Macaca fascicularis: one gene and its partners. The protein of the gene in region 1 interacts with the protein of each later gene in a biochemical or structural test. Links are inferred from orthologs where the notes say so. Each region holds a gene or a part of one and is shown in the gene's direction. Other genes may lie near its edges.

Region 1 (3,870 bases):
CTGAGAAAATCAGCCATGGCGAGGACCTTGGTCCCCAACCCCCCGGAGATAGGCCCCCTGGTGGGAGTCCTGGGGCGGGGCAGAGGCCTAGGGACAAGAATCAGAAAGGACCCAAGTTTGACAGGGCTGCTCAGGGTCATGCTGTCCATCCCTCTGCCACAGTGGCATGGACAAAACGCATATGTTGGTTACAGAAGTGCACCCTTCTCTCTTGCAAGCACTGGCAAGGTCTTAACTATCAGTCTCCCGCTCCCATGGCAGCCCCTTTGCACAAGGAGGCTCTTAATCTCTGTTCTTTGAAGCCCTGAGGGCTGGTGTATAGGAGTTCAAAGCATTGGCTTTGGAACCGGCCTGTCTGGGTTTGAATCCTGGCACTGCAGCTGACTCACTGAGGGACTCAGGCAATGCCTTACCCTTCCTGAGCCTCAGGTTCCTTGTCTGTGAGATGATAAAGATAGCCCCTATTTCATAGGGCTGTGGTGAGAAATCAATCAGATGAGGCATGTGAACGCCATTATAGCACAGCACCCGGCATCCAGCAGGACTCACTCGCTGACAGCTGTCACCGCCATCATTGTCATTAGCGTGGGCCAGGGAGGGCTGTGTAAAAGCAGCTGGTGGAGGAGGAAGAGATGCCGTGTGAGCGTCTCGGTTCACATGCATGAAGTATGATCTGGGCCTGGAGTGTGCAGTGCACACGTGTGTCCTTACTGCATGTGTTGTCACATGTGTGCAATGCCATGCTCCTAAGCCTTTGATTGCAGACGTGTGGGAAGTGGGCCCCGTCCCCACCCCCAGTGCCACCGTGCTCTGCTTCTCTTCCCTTGCTCTGCTCTAAAACGAGAAGTGCAAGTGAGTTCCCCCAAGGGGTCGGCCGCGCCTCTTCCTGTCCCCGCCCTGCCGGCCGCCCCAGGCCAGTGGAGTGGCAGCCCCAGAACTGGGACCACCAGGGGTGGTGAAGCGGCCTGGCACTGGGAGCTGCATTTGAGGCTTAGTCCCTGAGTTCTCCGCCTGCCCAGACTAGCTGCACCTCCTCATTCCCTGCGCCCCCTTCCTCTCCGGAAGCCCCCAGGATGGTGAGGTAAGGGCCTGCCACCCACGGTAGACAGGAGGCAAGGGTGCCTGGTGCCCACGGGACCCCTCCTCACTGCCCTGCCTGGGCCGCCCAGGTGGTTTCACCGAGACCTCAGTGGGCTGGATGCAGAGACCCTGCTCAAGGGCCGAGGTGTCCATGGCAGCTTCCTGGCTCGGCCCAGTCGCAAGAACCAGGGTGACTTCTCGCTCTCTGTCAGGTAGGTGCCCCCACCCCCGGTGTTTTGGCCACTGTCTTGTGCCATCCAGGCCCTGAACCACTCATTCCTGGTTCCCCGTGGCAGTGCCGACTCCCCGACCCCCACGTCCCGTCTGTGCCCTCGCGCCCCACCCCCGCCCTCCCCACCCCTGTCTGTGCCCACCCATGCCCATGTGTGCCCCCACCCAGGACCTCAGCCGATCCCTGCCCTCCTGCTTTACTCCTGCACCGACTGGCCTCACCGCCTGGTGCCCTGCAGGGTGGGGGATCAGGTGACCCATATTCGGATCCAGAACTCAGGGGATTTCTATGACCTGTATGGAGGGGAGAAGTTCGCGACGCTGACAGAGCTGGTGGAGTACTACACTCAGCAGCAGGGCGTCCTGCAAGACCGCGACGGCACCATCATCCACCTCAAGTACCCGCTGAACTGCTCCGATCCCACCAGTGAGAGGTGAGGCCTCTGTACCCCCGTCACTCGCAAGCAGGGGTGAGTCGGCTCCCGCCCTGAGCGGCCAGGGAGACAGGGAGCCTGGCACCCGGCACTGCCTGCCCTCCATCCCCTCCCCTCCCCGCACCGGCTGGGGCTCTCAGTGTCCCTCCTTCATGCTGTCCTGTGGCCTGGTGTCTCAGAGCCTAACCTACCACCCTTTCCACCTAACCCCGAGGAAGCCAGAGAAAGCTGCCTTGCCCTATACCAGGGGCCCTGGCCGCTGCAGCCCAGGTCCCACTAGACACAGGGAGGCCACTGCTGGTGGCCAGCATATCGTGCCGGCCAGCTCTGTTGTTAGAAAGCTCTTCTTCCTCTGGAAGCCAGCCTGCCCTCCTCCGTCTGCCTCTCACCCCAGTGCATGTTAGGACAGTGAGGAGCTGACACTGCGGATGAGGATGGGGATGAACGGTTGCCAGGACACTTGACACCTTGTCCCAGCCGCCCAGTGGGGATGGGTCTGTCCTGTGGGGTCAAATACAGAGATCACTGAAAGCAGGATGTGAAGTGTTCACCTGTGTAAAGGGTCTCGCACTGTCCCAGGCACAGAATAATACTCCAGGCATTTCCTTCCTGTGCCCTCCTCGACTCCTCCTGTGGTCTTCCAAAGGCATGGATGGGGGGCTGGGGAGCTTTGAACACTCCTCAGGACACCATAGCTCCTTTCAGCAGCCACATCTCAATGCCAGATCCTCTTAAAGGGCAGCGGAATAACGCTAGGGGGTTTTCACACGGACCCCTGGGCCAAGCCGACTTGCCCTTGCCCTGCATTCGTGGATCGATTGTTGAAATGATTGGGAAACTTGCTTCTGCCAGCTTGCAGCCTTTCTTAGATTCGGGCCTCCAAACTGCATCAATATTTTTGGTCAAGTCACTGATTGAAACTTAGAGCTGGATTCGGTCGCGGTGCAGCCCTGTGGCCCACCTGGGAGGCCTCCTTTCCTGGATCTGCCTCCTTCAAGGCCTTCCTCATCTGAGCCTCACATGGCTGGCTCTATGTCTGCCCCCTGCCCTTCCTCTTCCCCACTGCAACACTCAGGGGGCTTCTGCCAGCGAGACCCTCTAAAGCTCATGTCCTCTGTTTCTCCTTGCCTCAAGCTAGGAGGAGGAGGACGGGCTGACCAGTGCCTAGAGTTGGAAGAGAGGAGCAGGGCCCCAGGAGGCCCCTGCAGAGGAGGCTGAGGCCTGGGTTCAAAGAGAAGAGAGAGAAGGAAGGGAGGGCAGTGCTGGGGCAGGAGGTTAAGACCGGGGAAGCCACACTGAAGGCCCTTTTGGGTGACCCATCCCAGGAGCCAGTGTCACCCCCGAACCTGGGAGTGTGTGAGAGACTTTCTCCCAGGTTCTGCTGTGTCCCCTGCCTTGTCTGTGGCACCTCCTTCTCTGCGGGAATTTGCATCTGTCCCTCGGTGGCTCTGCGCTTCCTGTGGTCAGCCTGACATTTGCATGGAGACTTCCTCATCCTGGGGCCCAAGGGAAGGGGCTCAGCCCCCTCCCTGCTGCCTGGGGTCCTAGCCTGTCCCCAGGTGGTGGGCTGAAGTGGCCTAATGGGGTATGGAGGCTCTGGGGGGTCTCTCGGCTGGAGTCACCTCTGGGCAGGGGTGAGATGGGTTGGGACAGACTGGTCCTCCCCTCTTCCCCCCATCCCTGCGGTTGGAAAATTTGCCCGCCCTCCCCTTGTCCCTGGGCTGAGGAAACCTCACAACCTCACTTCTCACTCTCTCCCCAGAAGGAGTTTTGTGTTTTTTCCATCACGTGGTTTCCTGTGGGGCAGGGCATTGTGGGGCTACAGTTTCCTCCTGGGAAAGGGGTGTGCTTTGGGGAAAGGGCTTAGTTCTGCTTTCTGCCCCGACAGCCCCTTTGAATCCCTTTGAACCCTTTTGAACCCTGGGCTCCCCTTCAGTGACATCATCCAGGGCACCCCAGAGCCCCCTACACCACTCTTTCCCTGGTGGGGTTGTCCTCCCCGCCTCCCTGGGGGAGCGCACCCCATTGGCCTTCCTTGTGACTTGTGTCTCTCTGTCCATCTCCCACCACTCCCTGTGGTGTGGCCTTGGTCTGTGTTTCTCTTTGCCTCTGGTCTCTGCCGGGG
Region 2 (3,870 bases), on another chromosome or scaffold:
GAAAATCACGGTCGCCCAAGGCAGGTTTTGAGTCCTCGGGTGTGGGTTTGAGCCCCAGCCCTGTCTCTGGCTTGCCGGGTGACCCCAGGCTGGCCACTCCCCTCTCTGGACCTCATTTCTTCTGTACACTGGGATCGTAACCTCCTCCTGAAGATTGCAAAGGGGAGGTCTGTGGGCTAGGAGGGCTCGGCTTCCCCCATGCCTATGCACTGCCTGGCCAGGCTCCTGGGAAGGCCGTTCCTGGCCGCTGGAGCCTCTGCCCTTGCCTCCAGGGCTCAGCCTTGTTCCCTGATGCCATTTGGGCGTCTCTTGGCCTCTGGTCCTACCTGGGCCTGCTGGATGGGAGGAAACTTTTCTGGCCAAAAGCTTTTCTAGGCTCAAGAGAAAGAGGGGAGGCACCAGGGCTGGCCCTGCTTGACCCAGGCAGCCTTCAGGCCACACCCAGCCAGTGGTCTCCTGCCCACGACAGCCAGCCTCTGCCAACCACCCCCTCCCGCCTGACCCTGGGCCTGTCTTTAGAAAGGAGGTGGGTGGGGGACACGGACAGTGCCCCCGTGAGCCGATCCAGAGAGGGAAAGCAGTTAGGCCAGGGCCACACAGCAACAGGGAGCCACTCACAGGCTCCCAGCAAACAGTTATTGAGTGCCTGCTGTGTGCCTGGCCCTTTTATATGTGGTGGCATGGAATCTCCCCAGCAGCCCTGGGAGCACCCGCATTGTGCAGAGGAGGAAACTGAGGCCCAGAGAGAGCCAGTAACCCCTCCAAGTTCCATAGCTAGGATGCCCACCTGAGATATGGGGGTCTTGCTGGGGCCAAGGGTGCGTGGCAGGACGTTCCAATCAAGTGTCTCTTGGGTCCCTTGGCCCTACCTCTGTGGCTGCCCCGGGGCTGGCTGTTGAGAGACAGGGTGGGCCGCGGGCCCCGCCTGGGCCTCCCTTCCCTCCAATGTCAGGCAGGCACAGAACGGTGTCCAGAGCAGCGCTGAGTGCTGCGGCCTGTGGGAGAGAGGGCGTGGCGGTCACGGCTCCCCTCTGTGCCCTGCAGGTGCCTACTGCCTCTCAGTGTCCGACTTCGACAACGCCAAGGGCCTCAACGTGAAGCACTACAAGATCCGCAAGCTGGACAGCGGCGGCTTCTACATCACCTCCCGCACCCAGTTCAACAGCCTGCAGCAGCTGGTGGCCTACTACTCCAGTGAGCCAGCCTCGGAGGGCGGGCGGGCAGAGCCTCAGCTGCAGACCCTGGGGAGGGGCTTTGGAGCCTAGAAGGGTGGGGTCTTCTGTTATCCTGTGATGCCAGGTTTCCTGCTCCCCTCCCCACTTTCTCCCTCCCCCTTCCCTTCCTCTCTCCTCCGTTTTCCCTACTTTCCTCCGTCTCCTTCTTCTTCCTCTTCTTTCCCCCGACCCGCTCCTCCCAGTCCCCGTCTCTCCCTGCTCCTGCTCTGCAGCTGGCTGGTATGGAGGGGGCTGCCCTGAGGAGCCCAAGAGTGAGCTGGAAGGGAGGGGACGGAGGCTGGTGTCATTTGTCTATGTAGCCCTAGGACCGGTCTGAACCGGTTGCTGGGAGAGGAGGAGGGGGCGGCCAGATCGATTGCAGCAGAGACGGAGAGAGCGGCAGAGGGAGCTCGCGGGGCTTGCGTGCTGGGTGAGGGCTCGGGCGTGGGCGCAGTGCTGTAGCCCACCCACCTGGGCGTCCGGAGCTGACTGCAGTGTCGGGGCCTGTGGGTGCCTGTGGGTACCTGTGTGCCCATGTGTCTGTGGCACGCGTGGCCTCTGTGTGCAGGTGTTGGTCCACTTCCCACCCCAAGTCTCCTCCTCCTCTCAGCTCGGCCTCCTGACTTCCTCTGGGATCACCCACCACGCTCTTGTCTCTTCGGCCACCGCTGTGTGGCTCATGCTGAACCCCGTTCCCTCAGATCAGAACTCTCCAGGGGCTGTCTTGGAATCTTGGGATAAAGACCCCCACCAGCCCCCAAGTGGTCTAATCCCAGCTGCCTCCCCACCTCCGCCTGGTGCCGCCCTTCCCCACCTGCTCCCTGCAGCTCCTTTTGCCTCCGCTTCTTCAGCCCTGCAGCTATTCTTTCCTCAGAGCCTTTGCTCTGGCTGTGCCCCTGCCTGGAGGGCTCTTCCCTGCTTAACCCCTCACCCTCCTGCACATCCAAGCTCAGTTGCTGCTTCCTCCAGGAAGCCTCCCAGGACCCTCCTGCTGTTGCGCGAACAGCTCTCCTCCAGTCACATTCATGTCTGTGGTCCTGGGAGGTGATTAGGGAATTGAGGCTCCTCCCTGGACTCCGAGTTCCTGAGGGTAGATTCCCTGGACGTGTTCCCCGCAGGGTCCCTGGCACCCCCTACTGTCTGCTGAATGACTGACTCAGCAGATGCATAAAGCACTGTGGGCCTGTGTGGGGGTGGGACTGTGTGCACATAGATGTAGATGCCTGGCTTTGAGGGCGCCCTGGGTGTCTCCTGAAATCTGCGTGCATCTGGCATGTAGGGTGACACACACTGAGGGGCAGGGAGGCCCCAGGGCAGAAGCCCCCCCTAACTGCTCCTCTTGCCTCCTCCTCAGAACACGCCGATGGCCTGTGCCACCGCCTCACCACTGTGTGCCCCACATCCAAGCCTCAGACTCAGGGCCTGGCCAAGGATGCCTGGGAGATCCCTCGGGAGTCACTGCGGCTGGAGGTCAAGCTGGGCCAGGGCTGCTTTGGCGAGGTGTGGATGGGTAAGGCCTGGCCCCTGCCCTCGGGAGAGGCATCCATCCCCCACCCCGTGTGGCAGCTCTGGGCTCTGTTGGTCCCTTTGCCTTTAGCTGCCTCTGCTGGACGACGGGGCCCTGTTGTAAATCTGGAGCCCCCCAGCGGTGGCTGGCACCGAGTTGGGATGTGGCCCCCCAAGTGCTGTGCCCCAGACCGTGTAAACCATAGCACCTGATTCCAAGATCCGCACAGGGCTGGGCATTGCACAGACCTGCTGTGTAGGCTGGGCCCGGTGGCCTCACTCGGAGTCTCAGTCTTCCTGACTATGAATGGGGCTGGTGACAGTGGGACCTATGGGAGGCTGTGGAGGCCATGGCCCAGTGCTTGTCCACACACCAGCTGTTAGCCATGGAGAGAGAAGCCTGGCTCGTGGGAGGAGGTGCTGGGAAGCTTAGTTCTGGCATGGTCTGAGCCTGTTAGTGATTTCCTGTCTAACCCTGGAGAAACAGCAAAGCATGAGCACCGTGCAGCCCTGACAAAACCCAGGCCCCTTGTCCACCGGTTGCTTTCTGCTCACACAGAGGGACCAGAGGCCAGGGTGGAGGTGGGACAGCACTTGTAAGCCCGTAAGCCCATGGTGCTAGCGGGGATCACGGTGTGCTGTTTTCAAGGTGGTTTCATCTGAGCCGCATCTCCGCTCAGTCCCACTGCCTCCACTCTCCACCCTCCAGAGTGCTGATGGAGGACAGCAGAGAGGCCTCCTGGGTGGAAGGCACTGCAGGGACAGAGGCCTGGAGGCTGGAGGTCAGGCCGTCTGGAAGGGGGAGGCGTGGGCTTTGAGCTGGTGAGAGGGGAGAGGGGTGAGAAGCCAGGGTGTGAGCACAGCCACAAAGTGAGGACTTGAGCGAAACCTGGGTGAATGCACAGCGTCAGCCATTCTGGTGGCTGCAAAACTCATTTCTGGCTTTGGTGAGTGGTGATGACCCTGGGAAGGGCCTCACTTCCTCCCTGGGTGCTCCAGGTCGACTCATGAAGTGCCACATGCAGATGGCTTGAGCCAGGAGGACCACAGAGGTGGGCCTGAGCCCTAACCCTCGGAGAGAGGCCCAGTGACTGGGAGGAATGGGCCCAAGGTCACACAGCAAAGGAACCTTGAGTCCTGCTGGCACAAG
Region 3 (3,870 bases), on another chromosome or scaffold:
TTCAAATTAAAGAAAAAAATAGGCAACATTTGTTCTTTGGTTCTTGAGTCTGATTACTTTTCAAGTCAACCCACACATTATTAAACCATCGGATAATGTTTCCAAGGGACTTCTGAAGCATCCTTATGTGGGAAACCACTTGGAATTAGTGGGTTTACTCCTTTAGCATATCAGTATTTATTGAACACCTATTTCTATCAGGCAGTGTTCTAGCTGCTGAGGATGGAGTGAAGAGCCAAATGGATGGAAAGGAGGAGCATGCTCAGTGAGCTCGGTGAGCTCAGTGACAGAATGCAGCTCTCTTCTCTCTACCAAGCATGGAACACTATGTGGGTACTTATCTGATTATGTGATGGCCCAGTATTGCCATCCTTTATAAACTGTCTTGTTTATGAAGGACTCTATTCAAATTATGACCAGAGAGATAATGAGCAATTTATAGATCTTTGTCCTTAGTTCCCATTTCTTTTATTTTCCTCCAGTATAAAAAAGTTCTTAAAATTTGTATGTGAGCAATAAAAGAGTAATCTTATGTTTTATTTATACCAATTTGCATTTTCTCTCTGCCCTTAATTTTAAAAAGGAAAAGTCTGAACACAATTCATCACTAACCTAGGAGTCCTTTGACTAGATTAACTGACCAATGCCGCAGGATTATTTAATTCTGCGTGAGACTCTCTCTCTATAGCCACACTCTTACTCACACCTTTTTGGTTCCTGCAAAGTTCTTAGACATTGTATCTATAATTTGCGTTATATCTATAATTTGTCTGGTAGTGATGAATTTAATGCCTTTAAAACATTTGGCTCCTTACTTTACGTTACAAAATGCTGAGGAGAACGTTATTTCAGGAAGCTTTTTAAAAAGGTGTGTTAGTTACACGGAACCCAGTACTGATAGCTGGTGTTTACTACCTCCTTCTTCGTTTCAGGGCCAGCAGCTTGACCTTGGCACACCACATAATCTGAGTGAACCGGTAAGTAATTTCTTCAATTGTCAAGAATTTTACAATGTTTGTGTTGATAATGAAGGGACGATGATCAAGTTTTATCACAGTAAGAATTGCTAAGTAAAATCTCATTTATCCTTGCTGGAAGAAGAACAATTGAAAATAATGAGAAGTCCGAATTTATATAAAAATGAAGTGTGTTGAAGTGGAAACAGCACAGGACCAATCCAAGTGCATGATATTGTTTCTATATAACTGTGTGGCTTTGGACTAATTACTTAATTTTTCTGAGATTTAGTTTTATTATGTGTTATTTGAGATCATCTCTAATATTTCTTCTAACAGTTACGTTGTATGGTTTTATTACTGTTCTGCACATGTATTCATTTGTTTACCAAGTGTTTAGTGACTTAAGGTATAAGTATGCACAAGGCACTGTGCCAGGAACTAGAAATTTAACAATGAAAAAAAATAGGGCCTCTGTTTAAAAGGACTCTCAACCTTTTTGAGATACATGCTTGAAACCAGAGAGATAGACATATGCATAAAATTAGGGCCAGGCAGCATCATCAGAACCAGAATTGTGGTGTGGGTGAGGAGTGAAGGGAGAATACACAAGAGTAAAAGGCACCTCACTTGCCTGCAAAGCCTTCAAACTAAAACTAGAAAGAGGAAGCGTTTTCCAGATGGACTAGATGGGAAAAGGCATATTGATCAGAGAAGGCCCTTTGTGTCAAGAAAGCCCTTTGTGTCACAAAGGTGTGAAGTAGCCTAAGTTGTTAAGGAAACTGAGTATTTCAGCTTGCTTGGAAAACGGGGTACATGTATAGAGGGTAGGGAGGTGGAAGACCAATTGCCAAGTTACATGGAGCCAGATCATGAAGGGCTTTGTCTGCTATGCTTGCTAAGTTGGTCTTAACTCACAAGGTGATGGAGAGACATATAGAATTTTAGGTAAGAGAAGAGTGTGGCCCGATTTTTTTTTTTTAAAGTCACTCCAAATGTGGGAACAAGAGGGGTCCTCCCCTAAGGTTTTTGGCAAGTGGTTAATGGCAAAGCAGAAAATTGAGGCAGTGAGTGATGAACCCAGATGGATTTTAGTTAATGACCAGAGAAGTCAATAGGACTTGGTGATGGGTTTTCCGTGAGAGGGGAGAGTGGGGTGAGAGAAGAAGACACCCTGGTTCCTGGCTTGGACAACTCAGGAGAATGTAGCATGTTAATGGGAAACACAGGAGAAAGAGCAAATTTAAAGGTCGAAAGTGAGGAATTGAATTCCACATGATGAATTTGAAGTGCTTGTAGGAACTTAAATGGAGACATCTAATGAACCAGTGGATATCTGGGTCTGGGGCTCAGGAAGGAGCCTCAGCTGCAGTTAGAAGTTTGGGGGATATCAACATCGAGATCACTTGAAGCTGAGGTAGGGGATGAACTCGCTCCAGGAGAACTAGAAGAGTGAGGGGAGAAAAAGCTGAGGATAGAACACAAACACCAAAGGGGTGGAGAGAGGCAAAAAGAGATGGCAAAGGAGGCTGAGCAGGAAGAAAAAGGAATCCAGGTGCCACCATGGCCTGTGGAAGGAATGGTCAAGACAGGCACAGCTGAATCAAGTAAGGTAAGAAAAAATGTGTCAAATCTGTCCAATAGCAGGTCAGGGCAACTCAGGGTTTTCAGGGCAGCTATGGGGTGAAAGCTGCTAGTAGGCAGCTTACTCCCCAAACTGTCTACCTATTGAGGTTTTGACATGCCACCATCTGGTTGCATCTCCAGTTTTGAGTTTTGCTTGATATGTGAGGACACCTTAGGGACCCAGGATATACTCAATGCCACATTGTCCTGGGCTTTACCTTTGACAGCTACCCAGTGTACAGTGTCTTCCTTGAAGGTTGGCTGTTCTCTGGCTTCTAGGCCTGCCCATGCCAGGCTTAACTCCACTCAGCAACTCTGCTGCTCTGCAGTGAGCCACAAGCCTTGTTCTACCTGTAGATATGACAGCTCTGTTTGGAATCCCAAAATTCCAGATCCTTTGGAGGCCTCAGGTTTCTTGGTAGATTTCTATTTCTAAAACACAGGGTGATGCTTTTTGTTACTACATTGTACTTTCAGGTAACAAGAAAAAGTCACATTTCTTCAATCACTCACCATTGTCTGTTATTGTCTCTTGCAGTGCATCCAAGGATGTCACTTTTGGAACTCTGTAGATCAGAAAAACTGTGCTTTAAAGTGTGTAAGTATTAATTAGATTTCTATTTTGATACTGGTGTTTCTTTCAAGAGGAAAGTTGTGTAAGAGAATTCCCATTTGCATTTCCATTGGCTTTCAACTAGTTTGCTTGACCCCAAGACAAAGCAAAACAAAACAAAACAAAACTGAAAAACCGATAGCCTAGATAATACACAGTAATGGAAAAGAGATTGAGATTAACATTTTTAATGCAACTAGAGGTCATGGAAGGTTATTGCAAATCACAGAACCCAGGAATGCTCAATTGCTCCAAAACTATAAATGTCTTGTAGTGGAATGTTCGGTATTTGTTAAATTTCCTAGGCCTATGCTTCTCAAATTTTAATGTGCAATTATCTGGGATCTTATTAAAATGCTGATTCTGATTCAGTAGGTCTTGGGTGGGCCCTGAGATGCTGCGCTTGTAACAAGCTCCCAAGTGTTGAAATGCTGGTGGTTCCCAGACCACATTTTGGACACCAGGGTCGTAGGTTATGTTCAAAGTTTCTATGTAGAAAATATGGTAGGTATCTAATTCAGGGCCACAAACACCTGGTTTATTCCACTTTATGTAGGAAATACATCCCCAGATACTTTATTTTTCATTTTATTATGTAGCCTGGCTTTTGCCACTCAGTGTGTAATTTAAGGCACTTAACCCCTTGGTACTTTACATTCCTTATCCATTTTAGGA
Region 4 (4,475 bases), on another chromosome or scaffold:
TCCCTTAACCCCTGAGTCTATTTCCTCACCTCCACAATGGAGGTGCTGATTCTCACTCCACAGGCAGCGGATGTGCCTTAAGGGAAATAGTGCACAGTGAGCACTCAGTGAATGTGAACTATTACTCCCAGCTGCTGTCTTTCTACTCTGTGCTGAGACCCGGAGATGGACTGTGAAGTGTTCAGGCTTACATTGCAACGGAGTCTGGGCCCTGCACCTGGAGCTCCAACTCTAGGCTCTGTGTCACTGTGAAGGTTTTTCAACTTTGTCTCTCTCAGCCTTTGTTTCTTGTGTTACCCTCTTTGTCTGACTTTCCAACTCAGGCTTCCTCTTCCCCCCACCCATTTCCTGCCCCCCCTTCTCTCCGCAGCTGAGGTGCACACAGCATCGCTTCCACCTCACAAACCCCAACAATGCTCTGTGGGTTCCCCTCCCCCCACCAGCTCACTCAGGCAGTGACGCATGTGCACTTTCCTCCTGCGGGGGTCAAGGCTGGGTTCTCGGACCCGATGAGGCCACCTGGCGTTCCTCATATCACTGGTGACCTGGCCCTCAGCTAATGATGGGCGCCCCCTCAGCCTGGCCCCAGGGGAAATGGAAATTCTTTGCCTGCCTGCTGCTCGTGAGGATCTTCTTGCCTCCTGCTTATAACAGAAAGTCCTGACTGTCTGTGGCCTGCACCTGGGGGCCTGAGCGGCCCTGTTTGCTCTGTCATCCACCTGTTGCAGGAGATAGTGCCAAGCCCTTCACCTCTGCCAGGGGCTGTGACCTTGCCTCTACCTGAATTCAAAGTGTTGCCCTACTCTCCGACCATGATTAGTGGGTGTTGTCCTGGCCTCTGACTACAGCAGGGGCCGTTACGATGCCCTCTTGGAGACATGAGGTTGTCCTCCTGTCTGCCTCCTGAAACAGGCTGTTTTCCAGCACTCTGTCTGTAAGAGGGATGGTAGCCTACCATTCACCTACCCTTGACTATAATAAAGCCACTGTCCCATGCTCCGAGATGACATGGGAATTGTTCTCTTGGCCTGACCTGACTGTAACATGCGTGGTCTGCTCACCAGCTATTTAACAGGGATATTGTCCTCTCCTCTGACTCTGAATGATGCTACCTTTGCTGCCAGATAGAAACAAAAGGGTCTCTCAGCTGCAACAGTGGTGCTGCGGTGCTGCTTGCCTCTCACCGTAAGCTGAGTGTGTGTCTGCTTGCCCCCTGCTCCCTGGGCCCAAAGGCTGCCCTTGAATCTCCTGCCCAGATGCACTCTGGAGGGCAGAAGGGAGGGTCTATCAGACATCCTCCCCTCAACTTTAAACCTCCCAGTGTCGCCCTGGGACAGTAGGGGAAGTAGGGCCTGGCCTGGAGATGTAGGGGACCCCCAAGGGCTGAGAGGCGGGGGTCTATGGTGGCAGGAAGCTTGGGGTGCTAGAGGGTTGTGGTTGGGCTGCTGGGGCCCGGTTGGCTGCGGAGCCCTCGGGAGGAGGCAGGAAGTCAGGGTGGGACGTGGGCGCGAGGAGACAGGTGGTGGCTACGACGGTGAAGGGAGCTGAGACTGTCCAGGCAGCCAACTTAGGCCAGGAGGACCATGTGAATGGGACCAGAGGGCTCCCGGGCTGGGCAGGTAAGGAGCGCTGGTACTGGGGGCGCAGGCACTGGGGTGAGAGGCCTGATAGCAGACGGCTGCGGTTACGCGGGCCCAGGCTCCCTAGGGACACAGCAGCCCTTTGTGGCTGGGGAGAGAAGATCCTCGCTCAAGGTCAAGTGGGAGGCAGGCAGTGTCGCTGGGTTGCCTCTTTCCTGCGAAGCTGGTGGCGCTTGCCTCTGCCGTGCTGTCCACCAGCAGCCCCACCTCACTGGGACCATGTTTCCTGGAGACCAGGCACATGGACAGTCAGGTGTTAAAAAGGCTTCCAGAAACCACCAAATCCAGTCCCTCATGCCATGAGGATGAGGCTCCTGAGGCCCAGAGATAACAAGGCACTCACTGCCTATGGTTTCTCAGCAAGGCAGTGGCAGGGCTGGGCCACTGCCACTGAGAGAGTGATGTCCGAGGCTGTGACCACCCCGCCTGGAGCAGGGTGATGGACAGGTTGGACTCAGAGGACCCAGGAATCCTTCTGGTTTCTGGGACAGACCCCAGTGACAAGAATCTCCTGAGAGAGAGACAGAGAGAGAGAGAGAGAGAGAGAGAGAGAGATCACCCAGGGCATCCAGATGGACATGCGAGGAGTGATTTTATCCTCAGTGATCGAGGGAAGAGTCTCCTGATGGGCGTGGACTAATATGTGTGGGGGTGTCCATCACCCGGGATGGAGCTCCAGGGTGGATGGACATATCTGATCTGAGTCTGGGAGGTTGGGAGTGAAAGAGAATGATGGGAGAAAGGAAGAGGAAGTACTATTTTTATCCCAGACAGGGGTGCAGTTGGCCCTGGGTGAGGAAGCGCTGAACTCCCATCTGGAAAGTCACCATTCCTGCCCCTGCCAAGCGTCACAGCAGGATGTCCTCCCCTCGCCCCTGGCTCCCTCCGGCTTCAGCCCTGCCTGTGTAGGGCCAGTTGGTTTTGCTGATTCCTGCTTCAAACCCCAGGGAGGTGGAGAGAGATTGGGGAGGCATAGTTGCTACCTGCTCACCTCCTCACTTTTTAACTCTGAGCCTTAATTTTTTGGGGGAGTCCCCACTCAGCCAGATTTCCAGGTTTCCCCTGCTTCGTTGGAGTTTTTCTTGACACACACTTTCCGCCTAGTCAGCAGGTCCCAGCCTTTCTCCTATCTACAGCTCCGAGTCCTGTAGTCTCTTGTGGGGGCTAGGGAACATGGTGGCTCTCCCCGCGCTTCAGGGAGGGTCATTCACCCTGGACAGGCATGAGCAGTTCCTTCCACCCAGCCCTATGACAGATGAATCAAACAGGGTCCCTTGCTCTTGGGCCCCAGGAACAGAGGCTCTTCTCAAAGAGAGAAGGGCCAAGTGGACAGGGGCTGACAACAGGCTGAGGGTTGGTTCAGAGGAGGGGAGAAGGCATTTCTTAAGATCTGGAAAGCTTCCTGCCAGAGTCAAGACAGTTCTGAGAAGGAGAAAGACCCATTTTCGAGAGTGCCTAGGATATGAAGCCAAGGTCACTATCCCTGGATTCTGTTCCTTGGGTACCACGAGGCCAGAGACCTCAGAGCAAGACCAAAGGCAAGAGAGCCCACAGATGTGGTGTGGGGCAGAGAACATGCATTTCAGAGACAGGCCGACCCAGTCACAATTCCGCTCTACCATGTCCTTGAGCAAGTGGCTTCATCTCTCTCTGAACTTCAGTTTACTTACCTGTAAAGAGGCAATAATCAAGCTGGGCGCGGTGGCTCACACCTGTAATCCCAGCACTTTGCGAGGCTGAGGCGGGCAGATCACTTGAGGCCAGGAGCTTGAGACCAGGCTGGCCAACATGGTGAAACCCTGTCTTCACTAAAAATGCAAAATTAGCCAGGCGTGGTGGCAGTGGCAGGTGCCTGTAATCCCAGCTACTCAGGGGGCTGAGGCAGAATCGCTTGAACCCAGGAGGTGCAGGTTGTAGTGAGCAGAGATCAAGTCATTGCACTCCAGCCTAGGCAACAGATTGAAACTCCGTCTCAAACAAAAATGCCTCCTGGGTTCAGGCGATTCTCCTGCCTCAGCCTCCCAAGTGCTAGGATTACAGGTGCGCCACCACGCCTAGCTAATTTTTGCATTTTTAGTAGAGATGGGGTTTCACCATATTGGCCAGGATGGTTTCGATCTCCTGACCTTGTGATCCGCCCACCTCGGCCTCCCAAAGTGCTGGGATTACAGGCGTGAGCCACTGCACCTGGCCGGCACATAGTAGGTGTTCAAGGGAAGTGAGGCACTCCCTCCCCCTGCAAATGATGCACCAAAAGGAGGGCTGTCCACACCCAAATTACGCCCACTCAGCAGCTTGGCAGGCCAGTGAACCACCCATTCCCTCACATTTGTGGTGTGGCTTTGCAAATCAGCCTGCTTCCTGTATATAGTGTGAGGGGTGTGAGAACTCAAGCAGGCTGGACTCTGAGCAGGGCCATGGGATCTGCTTTAGAAGAGGGTCTCTCACACAGCCACACACAGACACACACACACACAAGCCAAAACACCATACATATTATAGGAAAATGTATGTGTACAGATGTGTTCAGAAGCAGGGCAGGGACTACACATAAAACACAGACTATATCCTATAACTCCAGGCACACACCCAAGCTGATGGCTTCAAGGCCAAGCTCAATTCAGTGAAAGTAATTCTCAGTGGGGTGGGGTGGGGTGGGGGGTGAGGAGCAGGTAGGACCAAGGTACCATCCAGTAATGTGGCCTCTTAACAATCAACCTCAGTGTTGATTTTAAAGTATCTGGAGCTAGGGGTTCGAGGCTGCAGTGAGCTATGATCGCTCCACTGCACTCTGGCCTGGGTGACACAGCTAGATTCTATCTCTAAAAAATAAAT
Region 5 (3,870 bases), on another chromosome or scaffold:
TGAAAATTGTTGATTCCAAATATGATTAGTATAATTATTTATTGGCTTTATCCTATGATTTCAAATAACAATACATATTATACAACAGTTAAAATTGCTAAATTTCTAAAATATCTTTGGTTTTTTTTTTTTTTTGGTCTTTAGAAAGTATCCAACATGGAATGTACAAGTAAAAATACTGGTTTCTAAAGTCCTTTGAAACACACCCTCTCTTTGAATTGGTATGATACTAATATGAATGTGGTTGGATTTAGTAGCTTCATGGTATTTCAAATTTAAGGAATTTTTGTAAAAAAAAAATGTATGAGTAGGTAATTTATATGATTCAAGTAGGTTAAAAATATAGACAAAAGTATACACAGACATACATGCTTTTCGGCCAGGTGCCGTGGCTCACACCTGTAATCCCAGCACGTTAGGAGTCCAAGGCAGGTGGATCACCTGAGGTCTGGAGTTCGAAACCAGCCTGACCAACATGGTAGAACCTTGTCTCTACTAAAAATACAAAAAATTAGCTGGGTGTGGTGGTGCACACCTGTAGTCCCAACTACTCAGGAGGCTGAGACAGGAGAATCACTGGAACCTGGAGGAAGAGGTTGCAGTGAGGCAAGATCACACTGTTGTACTCCAGCCTGGGCAACAAGAGTAAAACTCTGTCGAAAGGGAGGAAGGAAGGAAGGAAGAGATGAAGGGAAGGAAGGGAAGGAAGGAAGGAAGGAGAGAGAAAGAAAAGAGGGAGGAAGGGAGGGAAGGAGGGAAGGAGGGAAGGAAGGAAGGAAGGAAGGAAGGAAGGAAGGAAGGAAGGAAGGAAGGAAGGAAGGAGAAATGCTTGCTTTCCAATCTGTCCCTTCCATTTGTTTTTGTGCATGTGCATCTCTGTGTATAAACATATATACATATATACACACACAGATACACATACATGTATATACGTATACACACACAAACATACACACCCATGTATACATTCACAAGTATATACATAAGCACATGTATACACACAATCAAAATTGGTTGTGATACTTATTTTAAAATATATTTGTATATCACCGTCATTTTGTACAATGAACAAAAATGTTTCTGTGTTAATCATAAGCTTTTTCAGTTTGTGAAAGGTTGTGATCTTTATTCTCTGCTTAAATTTGTGAATTAACATAGACATGACGGTGGACATAATTTCAACTAGAGAGTTTGGGGAGAGGAGAGGCTCTCTCGGTCAATTTTGCAAAAGTATGTCTTTACAATACTGAGTCTTTCAATCTATAAACACAGCCCATCCCCGCATTTACTAGGTCTTCTTCAGCCTCTCTCAGGAGAGTTGTTTACCTCTTCAAAGCATTACATTTAAATGTATCCTTTTAAATTCTGCACCTAGAAATTCACTTTCAGCGTTTATGAAAGGCATTTTATATTCACATTCATTACACGTAATCTGAGATGGTGAATCCCAAGATGTTACAGGAATTTGTGCATGTCATCGTTGGTGAGGTTTATTTACAAGTTATTTAAATATTTTACAGTTTAGGGTTTTTGCTTGGTTGGGACGTTCTTCAGTACTGTTCTTCACCATTCTTTTTATTTTATTTTATTTTTTAGAAACAGGGTTTCCCTCTGTCATCCAGTCTAGAGTGAAGTGGCAAGAAACTCACTGCAGCCTTGAACTCCTGAGTCCAAGTGATTCTCCCACCTCAGCCTCCTAAGCAGCTGGGACTACAGGCTTGCACTGTCACGTCTAGCTGATTTTTTTTAGAGATGGGGTTTCACTATGTTGCCCAGGCTGATCTTGAACTTCTGGCCTCAAGCAATCCTCCCCCTTCAACCTCCCAAAGTGTTGGGATTATCAGCATAAGCCACCATGCCCAGCCCCCACCATTCTTTTTTAGTAATGGGGCATTACTCTCATTGTCTGTAAAATTAGGGAATATAGGTTGGAAGGCCAGCCATCCATTACAGGCTTCTGAAGACACATTGTCACTCTGTGGCAGGTATTTCCATGGGACTGGTTCCACGCGGGGATTATGCTTCACAGGAGAAGATTATCTAGAAGCCAGGCGTTTCAGAAAGTTTCTTGTGTGTTATGATTTCTCTTGCAGAGTTGTGAAAACAGTGGCTGTGAAAATTCTGAAAAACGAGGCCAATGACCCCGCTCTTAAAGACGAGTTATTAGCAGAAGCAAATGTCATGCAGCAGCTGGACAACCCGTACATCGTGCGCATGATCGGGATATGCGAGGCCGAGTCCTGGATGCTGGTTATGGAGATGGCAGAACTTGGTCCCCTCAATAAGTATTTGCAGCAGAACAGGTATTGTCAGGTGCCCCCACAGGTCTGGAAGCTCTCCCCTAAGGGACAGGGCCCACCACTGGATGGGCTGAGCAGCCTGATTTCCGTGGAAGCCTTCCCACCCTCCTGTGCCTTCCCTTATTGGTCCATACTCAGGGACCTTGACAGAGGGAAAAAGGGAGACTCAGTCTTTGGATTCAGCTCTGTTAGCTCTAGTTGTTCAGAGAAGAACTCATTCGACAGTTTTGTCTTTCTTTTCTTTCTGTACTCATTCAGTCTTGGCCTAGTGATAGACTCAGCCTCAGAATATCTTGACAGGGAATCTCCTTTCTCACTGGGAAGAACACATTCTTTTTAAAGAAACATTTAAAATAAGTGCTTTTCTAAGAGGTGACAGTTATGTTTTATCTGGCTGACCTTATGTCCTCATGAATAATGACTTCTGAAAATATCAGTCGCTGCTAATTGATTACATCCATCAAGGGAGTAATCGTGTTCTCATCTAAAGCTGTTGTTGAGATGAGGAAACTCACTTGGCGTAAGACAGAATGATGGCTACTGAGGAGCTTGCTTTGTTTGCTGTGCTATGTTTGTACTTAGGTTGTCTCTTTAGTCTCCATGGAAGGGAGGTGTTCTTACCCTTTATAGGTGAGAAACTGAGACTCAGGGTTAGTTCTGTGACCTGTGCAATACTGGAACAAGGATTTAAGGTGGTGCCTGGCTGTCTGTGAACCAGGCCTCACCACTCTGTTATACTGCTTGTCTTGCAATTCCAAGCATGCCAGGAAACTCAATCCCATTGAACACCAGGAGAATATGGCATTCAGTCCTGAAGAGTTATATGCTAACAAAGTTATTTGTCACCACTTGTGAGTTTTGTTGTTTAAGAAGAGGGAAGGAGTAGATTCACCTACTGCCTGCATGAGGAGCATGGTTGTTTGTTGTGAAATGGGTCACTGTCGGTTATAGCTGATGAGATCGTTGTGACTTTCAGACATGTCAAGGATAAGAACATCATAGAACTGGTTCATCAGGTTTCCATGGGCATGAAGTATCTGGAGGAGTGCAATTTTGTGCACAGAGATCTGGCCGCAAGAAATGTGTTGCTAGTTACTCAACATTATGCCAAGATCAGTGATTTCGGACTTTCCAAAGCACTGCGTGCTGATGAAAACTACTACAAGGTAAGTACAACTTAGCTAATATTCAGAGCAGCTGGTGGTAAAAAATGCAAGATAAATGTATGTTTTCTTTATTTTACTATTGGTATGGTTTTAAAAAGCAATTTTGCTACTTAAAAAATAACTATATAAGAAATGTTCTCATAATCTTTGATTTTACTGTTTAAAAAATAAAAATAATATATCACACCTTGAGATTTACTCAATGTAGTATATTCTAAATTATGTTTCATGGAATGATCAGGAATCTAGGTATTAAGTGATGATTCATTTTGAAAAAAGAAGAATGGGATTCCTTCATTAAGTTAATTTCAAAAGTTTGGATTGGACAGCTTGATTCTTGCAGGATTTCCCCAAAGCCCTTTTCATGCTACTCAACGTTACAAATCTCAGTAGAGGGTTTTGCT
Region 6 (2,685 bases), on another chromosome or scaffold:
GGCTTGGGCAAATCCCTTTCCCCTCTGAGCAGCGGGGAGCTTATTTATACAAAGGGGGATGGGCCAGGTTAGAAGATCCCTGAAGGCAACTGTGGCCTGACCATCCCTGTTTCTTTGGTTCTCCCTGCCCTGGGAGCAGAAGTACCAGCAGGTGGATGAGGAGTTTCTGAGGAGTGACCACCCAGCCATCCTTCGGTCCCAGGCCCGCTTGCCTGGGTTCCATGGCCTCCGATCTCCCCTGGACAGCAGCTCCGTCCTCTATACCGCCGTGCAGCCCAATGAGGGTGACAACGACTATATCATCCCCCTGCCTGACCCCAAACCCGAGGTTGCTGACGAGGGCCCACTGGAGGGTTCCCCCAGCCTAGCCAGGTAACCACTGTGGCCTGGGGCCAAGGATATCGTGTGTGTGTGTGTGTGTGTGTGTGTGTGTGTGTGTGTGTGTGTGTGTTTGCCTGCATGCGTGCTGTCAGGCTTGCCTCAGAGGTAAGTTACCTAGGGTAAGTACTTATCCCTAACAACAAATAAAAGAGAGAATGGAACTCATTTGAACTTTGATGCCCTGAGGTGGAAAGGGCAGGTTAGTAAAAACAAAAGTATGGGCTGGGAATTATTTGCAAGGTAGCTATTTCCTTTAAGGGAGCCCCCAGAGGTTATCTATACTCTCTCATCTCTAGGTCCTGTCCTAGCCCCAAGGAGAAGAAGCAAACCTACTTAGCATCCCCAGCACCCCAGTTGTTACTCATGGCCAGCCAGAGGCCTATGTTCTGTTCTTCAGCACCATGCCCTGGGGCTGGAGAGAGCCTCCAGGGCTGCAGGAGTCAGAGGCGCCTACAGGAATTCAGGACAGAATTCAGATTGGGAAGGAGATTGTGGTTTTCTTTTGCCTTGGGAAGTGGTGAAGTTACAGCTCAGCGGGGGCTTTATAGGAGGACCCTGCTGTTGTGGGGACTTGATGTCCACATAGGATCTCCCCTTAACTGGAGAGAAGGGCTCCTCATGAGGCCACGCCCACCTCCAAAGCAAGATCCAGCCCAAGGTGAAGTGGCTGGAGCCCCAGGCTGGGGTACTGTCCCAACTCTGCCACTAGCCGCTATGAGACCTGGGAAGGCTTTTCCTCTGAGAGCCTCAGTTTCTCCATATGTGCCAGGGGTGCACACAGGCCTTAGAAGGCTCCCAAAGGCCCTCATTGCTCTAACTGTTGAAGAGACGAATCATCCAAGAGTTCCAGTGGATGGCGCAGAGGAGTGAAGTGCAGCTCTCCTACAGCTTGAGGTGTGAACGCAGAGGAGTGAAGTGCAGCTCTCCCACAGCTTGAGGTGTGAACGCAGAGGAGTGAAGTGCAGCTCTCCCACAGCTTGAGGTGTGAACGCAGAGGAGTGAAGTGCAGCTCTCCCACAGCTTGAGGTGTGAACGCAGAGGAGTGAAGTGCAGCTCTCCCACAGCTTGAGGTGTGAACGCAGAGGAGTGAAGTGCAGCTCTCCCACAGCTTGAGGTGTGAACGCAGAGGAGTGAAGTGCAGCTCTCCCACAGCTTGAGGTGTGAACGCAGAGGAGTGAAGTGCAGATCTCCCATAGCTTGAGGTGTGAATGCTCGCCCTGTTTTGTGCCCTCAGACAAGCTGCTTCACTGTGTAAACACTGGTGTCCTCTTCTTTTTTTTTTTTTTTTGAGATGGAGTTGCACTCTTCTTGCCCAGGCTGGAGTGCAGTGGTGCGATCTCGGCTCACCGCAACCTCCGCCCCCCGGTTCAAGCAGTTCTCCTGCCTCAGCCTCCCGAGTAGCTAGAATTACAGGCATGGAGCATCACACCCGGCTAATTTTGTATTTTTAGTAGAGACGGGGTTTCTCCGTGTTGAGGCTGGTCTCGAACCCCTGACCTCAGGTGATCTACCCGCCTCGGCCTCCCAAAGTGCTGGGATTTCAGGCGTGAGCCACCGCACTCGGCCGGTGTCCTCTTCTATAAAATATAAACAGTAAAAGTACTTCTATTAGGCAGTCATTGCAAGGATTAAATGAGATAGCATACACCTTTAGGGGTGCAGAGGAGGCAGATGCTAGTGGGTGAGAAATGAGCTTTGGAGCCAGCCAACCCTGCTCTGAAGTTCCAGCTCCTGCACTTCCCTGCTGTGTGAAGTGGGGCAGTGACATAACCTCTCTGAACCACACTTTCCTCACGGTGCAGGCATTGCATAGTTTTCACAAGAGTTAAATGAGCCGGAGTGTGTGAAGCCCATGGTGCAGGGGCAGACACACCGAAGGCTCTTCATGACTGCTGCTGTAATCCTCCTGGGCTCCTTCCTAGCCTGTCACTCACTGCCTCCTTCCTCTAGCTCCACCCTGAATGAAGTCAACACCTCCTCGACCATCTCCTGTGACAGCCCTCTGGAGCCCCAGGAGGAACCAGAGCCAGAGCCCCAGCTTGAGCGCCAGGTGGAACCAGAGCCAGAGCTGGAACAGCTGCCGGATTCAGGGTGCCCCGCGCCTCGAGCGGAAGCAGAGGACAGCTTCCTGTAGGGGGCTGGCCCCCACCCTGCCCTGCCCAAAGCTTCCCCTCTGCCAGTACCCAGCACCTCCTGGCCTGGCCGGGCCTCCTGTCAGCCAGGCTGCCCTTATCAGCTGTCCCCTTCTGGAAGCTTTCTGCTCCTGACGTGTTGTGCCCCAAACCCTGGGGCTGGCTTAGGAGG
Region 7 (4,660 bases), on another chromosome or scaffold:
GGACTGTGAGGGCAGGGGCCACATCTGCTTATCTGTCTATTAATAATAGTACTCCTGGTACCTAGCTCCTCGTTGCTCCACAGCAGACACTAAATAAATGCTTGCTGAGTGAATAAATACTTACATTTAAAGAGAGGCAATTATACACATTGATCATTTGATCATCCTCTAGTACTGATAATTTTTAAGTGATTAACTTTAAAAATCATTTTTCTTACGTCAACCTGGGTCCTCACACTATTAAACAACAGGAGAGCTTTCAACATTAAATGGAGTGGGGCAGCTGGGCAACTATAAATTTTGGATGATACTTCAGAGAAGAGTCTAGGTGTATCTGTTCTATCCCTTTTTCTCATGGGCATCTGCCACTTATTTTCCATTCTTAAGCTCTCAGGAGGGATGTCTTTTTAGTTTATCAGAATCCATAGGGAAAGCTCATCTTTCTTGGAGTAGGTCTTCAAATAAGGGTTCAAGCCCTGGGTCTTCCCTCACTACAATAATAAACATACCTGCTCTACCCTCCTCACAAAGCTGTTATGGTGAGCATGAAAAGAAGAGTCGGTGTGGGGAAGAACTATTAACCCCTATACAGATACCGTGTTGCTTTCCGTTCAAGGATCCACCATGAGACTGTGGATAAAGCACTTTCCGGGCAGTGAAATCTGGCTTAAGAGAATCATTGTACTTTTATTCTGCTCCTGGGACCGGCAAGGGCAGTTAAGAGGGACACAGGGATCCCTAGCCCTAAAACTGTCGTCTGATACAGAGGCAGATAAATCATTACTGGGGTTGGCAGCGTTGGGGGGAGAGGGGGAAATGTGTATGAAAACCTGGGCTCCCAGAGCAAACTTTGCAACGCGCCCCTCCCCACTTCACCGCCCCAATCTCCACACAAGTCCCGGCAGGGGCTTCTTGGGCGGAGGCCACGCCGACCAATAGGAACCCACTGTATTCTTACAGGTTACGAAGCAGGTGGAGAAACTGAGCAGAAACAATTAGCTAAGCCGGGCTCAGCCTTTACCGCGGTGCCACGCGCTCCTAACAGGCCTGGAGGGTAATGTCGGGGCTCAATTTCCTAACGCTCCCCTCCCCATCCCCGTGTCACCTCCACCAGCAGCGGCGTCCAGCCTCCTCCCGCCCGAACGTGCTCGAGGGACGGGCAGCCGTCCTTTATTGTCTGGGGAGCACCTGGCAGGTGGCGGGCCCGTGCCCTAACGTGCGCGTGGTGCCCAGCTTCACAAAGCGAGCGGGCAGCACCTCTTTGGTCCGGGAACGGCCTCGGGCGGGCCGACCACATCCCAGGGGTGGAGAGGTGGAGAGAGAAAGGGGCTCCGGGGTCAAGAGCTGGGAGCTAGGGCGCGCGCGCGCCCTCCTCCTCCCCGCGGGCACAGCCCCCCGGCATTAACACGTCGAAAGAGCAGGGGCCAGACGCCGCCGGGAAGGAGCGAGACCCGGGCGGGCGCGAGGGAGGGGAGGCGAGGAGGGGCGTGGCCGGCGCGCAGAGGGAGGGCGCTGGGAGGAGGGGCTGCTGCTCGGCGCTCACGGCTCTGGGGGCTCGGCTTTGCCGCGCTCGCTGCACTTGGGCGAGAGCTGGAACGTGGACCAGAGCTCGGATCCCAGCGCAGCCACCGCGATGAGAGGCGCTCGCGGCGCCTGGGATTTTCTCTGCGTTCTGCTCTTCCTGCTCCACGTCCAGACAGGTGGGTCACCGCGGCTGGCACCCCGACCGTGCGACTCCTCGGCGAAGCCTGTGCCCGGGAGGGTGGTACACGCCGGAGTGCATCCGGAGAGAGGACTGCGGGCCCTCAGTGCCTGTGCGTTCCAGTCTCCGGGGGAGACTCCAGGTGTCCCTCGGACTCTCCTGCGCCTTGCCTCGCTCACCTGCGCGAGGAGACCCCAGCTGCTAGTGGTGGGGACGCGAAGCCGGGGTTCCTCGGGAATGGGGACAGCGAGGGGAGGTTAGGCGTGAGCGAGGTTGCAGGCTGCGTGCGAGTTTGGGGTGGCTTTTGTGCCGAGGTTGCGCGGGGGGCGGAGGCGAGGGGCTCAGGGGTTCCCACCGAGCGCCTTCTCTCGCTGTGCGAGGCGCGGCCGCAGCTTCCTTTTGTTAAAAGTTGCGTGTGTGTGACCGGTGCCCAGGAGGACCTGCCTGCAGGTTCTCCGCCGCGCGGAGGGCAAAGTTAGAGAGCCCTTTCTCTCCTCTGCGGCTGCTGCCTTCCAACCGCAGGCGCTCTTTGTGCCCAGAGCTGGGGACCGACCCGCTGCCGCCTCTGCTCACGGCGCCACCCGTGGAGACGAATCGAAGCCTGCGGATTTCCCCGCCTCCGGGTTAGGGTTTTGCTCTGGGAGTGCGCGGCGTGTGGCTGTGGGGCCGGACTCCCGCGAGCCTGGAGGTGGTGTGTACGGGGACAACTTGGGCAGGGCGTGTGGAAAGCAGCCGCTAGGTTGCAGACTTTTTGCTTTCGTATATCCTGTGCTCGTCCCTTTCGGCCGCGGCGCCGTTTCATTCCTGCCACGCGCCCCGGGGCGGCTGGAGGCTGCGTTTGCCGCCTGCTCCGGGAAGGCAAGGGACAGCGTGCTGGGACTATGCGTGCCCTGATCCCGGCTGCCTAGCACGCCGGCCAGTGTGCCCGGCCTGCCTGGCGGGCTCTGGAAGCCCGTAGTCCCGGTATCTGCGACCTGTATTCGCAGGTCCTGTTTTCTTCGGAAATTTTTGAGATTAGTGACCGCCCGCCTCCCTGTCCCCGGGGAGGGGACATCTATACTTCAGGGCTGCCTGGGGGTGGGGTGGGAGATGGAGTGGAACTTTCTGCAAATCCTACTCAGTTCTTAAAGCTATAACAAAAAACCAGATATATCCGCGCGGGAACTTGGGTCTTAGGTGAAGGATTTGCCGGCTGCTGGAGCCCCTCGGTCAGATTTCTGCCTCTCGTTCCCTTTTTTCCAGGTGTCGCTGGTGCGCGCGAGTGCAGGTCGCCCAGCTCACTCCTGAAGCACTGCTCTCTCCCAGGTCATTTTTAAAACAAACCTTTAAGGTTACCTTGATGGTGTAAGGATAGAAAGTGAGTCTTAGCTGGAATCAAGCGCTTGAAAGGAAGCGGCGCAATGAACGGTTGTGAGACTGTCTACTACTGGTCAGTTTCTCTATAAAGTCTCCAGGCGCAGTCTCCCGCGTCCTGGTCTTGTAACTATTGTGAGGGCTTTCCTGTGGGGGCAGAGAGGCCTTGCATCTGGACCCCTGTGCAGCAGGAGGGGTCAGCAGGGGTCACGAGGGAGTGTTCAGATTCCCTGGAGGATTTGATCACCTAGCTTAAAACAACACATCTGGTCTTTATGTTTTTGTGCCTTGACCTTTTTAATATCAGTTAAGGTATGTGAACTAGACCCCAGTAGGAGACTAGAAAGACCACATCGAATATCTCCCTTTTACAAAATTAAAAGAATCAATGGTTTTCTTCTTCCCAAAAGATTTTTGGCAAAGGGAATTTTAAGTCTGTCTCCTGGGGGGGCAGTGTGGTGTAACGACAAAGCCTTGATCTGTCCCCTGGGTTCTCCTTTTCTCTGCCATTTCTTGGCTGCGTGCCCTTGGGCAGGTTGCTTAAGGCAGGTTGCTTAAATTCTGGGGAACCCAGTGTCCTCCAGAGTACAAGGAGGCATCTGCATCATGAAGGATCCTTTGGGTCCAGAATTTTCCAATGTGCTGAGTGTAGACTCAGCACTCTTTTCAACTATTCCCCTGGTCCCTGTCTGCCACCTTGAAATTCCTCTGCCTCTCCTGCTCACGGGGACCTCATGGAGTATGGGTGCATCTGACCGTCTGCCCCTGGCTGCAGCAAGGAGCTGTGGCTTATGCTTCCCACCCCTCAATTCCCATATATTTCTCTGTATTGCCCTTTGAGGGCTAGGAGGTGCCCACTTTGTCCTAACCGTCATTCTTCTCCCCCACCACCACCCCATTATTACAGCTCCTGTGCCTAACAGGATGAAGCTGCAAGGAATGGTGAATCATACCTTCCCCGCTTCATTCCTGCAGGTGTGAGGCTGGAGTCATTCTCAGCAGCTGGACGCAAGGCAGTCTAAATTATTTTCCTGCTGGAAATATCCCAAATAAATATCCCAGATAATTCATTTATCCCTATTCTGTTTTTTCCCCCACTCATCCCCATATTTTTTCCTCATGACTCTCTAAATCATGTATGCTGTGCATTTATAACATGCTTTCTAATGGGCCTTAAATTTTGTATGACATGTGTGTTATACATAGTTGTTGCTCTTCAGTTGGAAACTGTGTGCCAGGCCTGTTGCTTGGGGCTTTACCTGCTATTTCCGCTAGTCTCAATGAGCCTAGGAAGTAGTATTATTATTACCCCTAACATTTTACAGCTGGAGAAACTGGCTAAGGATAAGCGCCAAGTCATCAGTGGTGAAGCCTGATGAGATTGGCTCTATGTGCCCAGCTCTATAACCATTCACATGATTCACCGGAATCTGTAGTAAGACTCATTCAAAAATATTTAATGAGTTTTTACTATGTGCCAGGGATTGTTGGAAGTTCTGGGAATGCAGAATGGCCAATGTCACTGCCTTCCCAATTTTGGTGAAAAATATTTAGAATTGGGTGTCTTATGAAAGGGGAGTATTTGTGGAGGGAGGATTAATTAAA

The links.
Region 2: of the proteins of PTPN6 (region 1) and SRC, one has a biochemical effect on the other in vitro, tested with the Homo sapiens proteins (2 studies listed by BioGRID). The link is inferred for Macaca fascicularis from reciprocal best matches to the Homo sapiens genes PTPN6 and SRC.
Region 3: of the proteins of PTPN6 (region 1) and ROS1, one has a biochemical effect on the other in vitro, tested with the Homo sapiens proteins (2 studies listed by BioGRID and IntAct). The link is inferred for Macaca fascicularis from reciprocal best matches to the Homo sapiens genes PTPN6 and ROS1.
Region 4: of the proteins of PTPN6 (region 1) and LCK, one has a biochemical effect on the other in vitro, tested with the Homo sapiens proteins (4 studies listed by BioGRID and IntAct, with this or other methods). The link is inferred for Macaca fascicularis from reciprocal best matches to the Homo sapiens genes PTPN6 and LCK.
Region 5: of the proteins of PTPN6 (region 1) and SYK, one has a biochemical effect on the other in vitro, tested with the Homo sapiens proteins (2 studies listed by BioGRID). The link is inferred for Macaca fascicularis from reciprocal best matches to the Homo sapiens genes PTPN6 and SYK.
Region 6: the proteins of PTPN6 (region 1) and PDGFRB form a complex in vitro, tested with the Homo sapiens proteins (2 studies listed by BioGRID and IntAct, with this or other methods). The link is inferred for Macaca fascicularis from reciprocal best matches to the Homo sapiens genes PTPN6 and PDGFRB.
Region 7: the proteins of PTPN6 (region 1) and KIT form a complex in vitro, tested with the Homo sapiens proteins (2 studies listed by BioGRID). The link is inferred for Macaca fascicularis from reciprocal best matches to the Homo sapiens genes PTPN6 and KIT.

The regions. Positions count from the first base shown.
Region 1 is NC_088385.1:7,890,187-7,894,056, forward strand, and holds part of PTPN6 (tyrosine-protein phosphatase non-receptor type 6), read left to right. Parts: intron 1-916; exon of another isoform or gene 917-1,073; coding exon of another isoform or gene 1,074-1,081; intron 1,082-1,169; coding exon 1,170-1,292; intron 1,293-1,550; coding exon 1,551-1,745; intron 1,746-3,870. UniProt on the Homo sapiens protein: Tyrosine phosphatase enzyme that plays important roles in controlling immune signaling pathways and fundamental physiological processes such as hematopoiesis.
Region 2 is NC_088384.1:93,506,427-93,510,296, forward strand, and holds part of SRC (proto-oncogene tyrosine-protein kinase Src), read left to right. Parts: intron 1-1,044; coding exon 1,045-1,194; intron 1,195-2,568; coding exon 2,569-2,724; intron 2,725-3,870. UniProt on the Homo sapiens protein: Non-receptor protein tyrosine kinase which is activated following engagement of many different classes of cellular receptors including immune response receptors, integrins and other adhesion receptors, receptor protein tyrosine kinases, G protein-coupled receptors as well as cytokine receptors.
Region 3 is NC_088378.1:21,377,833-21,381,702, reverse strand, and holds part of ROS1 (proto-oncogene tyrosine-protein kinase ROS), read left to right. Parts: intron 1-932; coding exon 933-977; intron 978-3,120; coding exon 3,121-3,180; intron 3,181-3,870. UniProt on the Homo sapiens protein: Receptor tyrosine kinase (RTK) that plays a role in epithelial cell differentiation and regionalization of the proximal epididymal epithelium. NELL2 is an endogenous ligand for ROS1.
Region 4 is NC_088375.1:202,771,273-202,775,747, reverse strand, and holds the start of LCK (tyrosine-protein kinase Lck), read left to right. Parts: upstream 1-1,511; 5' UTR 1,512-1,619; intron 1,620-4,475. UniProt on the Homo sapiens protein: Non-receptor tyrosine-protein kinase that plays an essential role in the selection and maturation of developing T-cells in the thymus and in the function of mature T-cells. Plays a key role in T-cell antigen receptor (TCR)-linked signal transduction pathways.
Region 5 is NC_088389.1:121,173,265-121,177,134, forward strand, and holds part of SYK (tyrosine-protein kinase SYK), read left to right. Parts: intron 1-2,093; coding exon 2,094-2,303; intron 2,304-3,276; coding exon 3,277-3,466; intron 3,467-3,870. UniProt on the Homo sapiens protein: Non-receptor tyrosine kinase which mediates signal transduction downstream of a variety of transmembrane receptors including classical immunoreceptors like the B-cell receptor (BCR).
Region 6 is NC_088380.1:157,000,290-157,002,974, reverse strand, and holds part of PDGFRB (platelet-derived growth factor receptor beta), read left to right. Parts: intron 1-139; coding exon 140-372; intron 373-677; coding exon 678-1,251; 3' UTR 1,252-2,331; coding exon of another isoform or gene 2,332-2,515; 3' UTR 2,516-2,685. UniProt on the Homo sapiens protein: Tyrosine-protein kinase that acts as a cell-surface receptor for homodimeric PDGFB and PDGFD and for heterodimers formed by PDGFA and PDGFB, and plays an essential role in the regulation of embryonic development, cell proliferation, survival, differentiation, chemotaxis and migration.
Region 7 is NC_088379.1:79,244,141-79,248,800, reverse strand, and holds the start of KIT (mast/stem cell growth factor receptor Kit), read left to right. Parts: upstream 1-1,575; 5' UTR 1,576-1,633; coding exon 1,634-1,700; intron 1,701-4,660. UniProt on the Homo sapiens protein: Tyrosine-protein kinase that acts as a cell-surface receptor for the cytokine KITLG/SCF and plays an essential role in the regulation of cell survival and proliferation, hematopoiesis, stem cell maintenance, gametogenesis, mast cell development, migration and function, and in melanogenesis.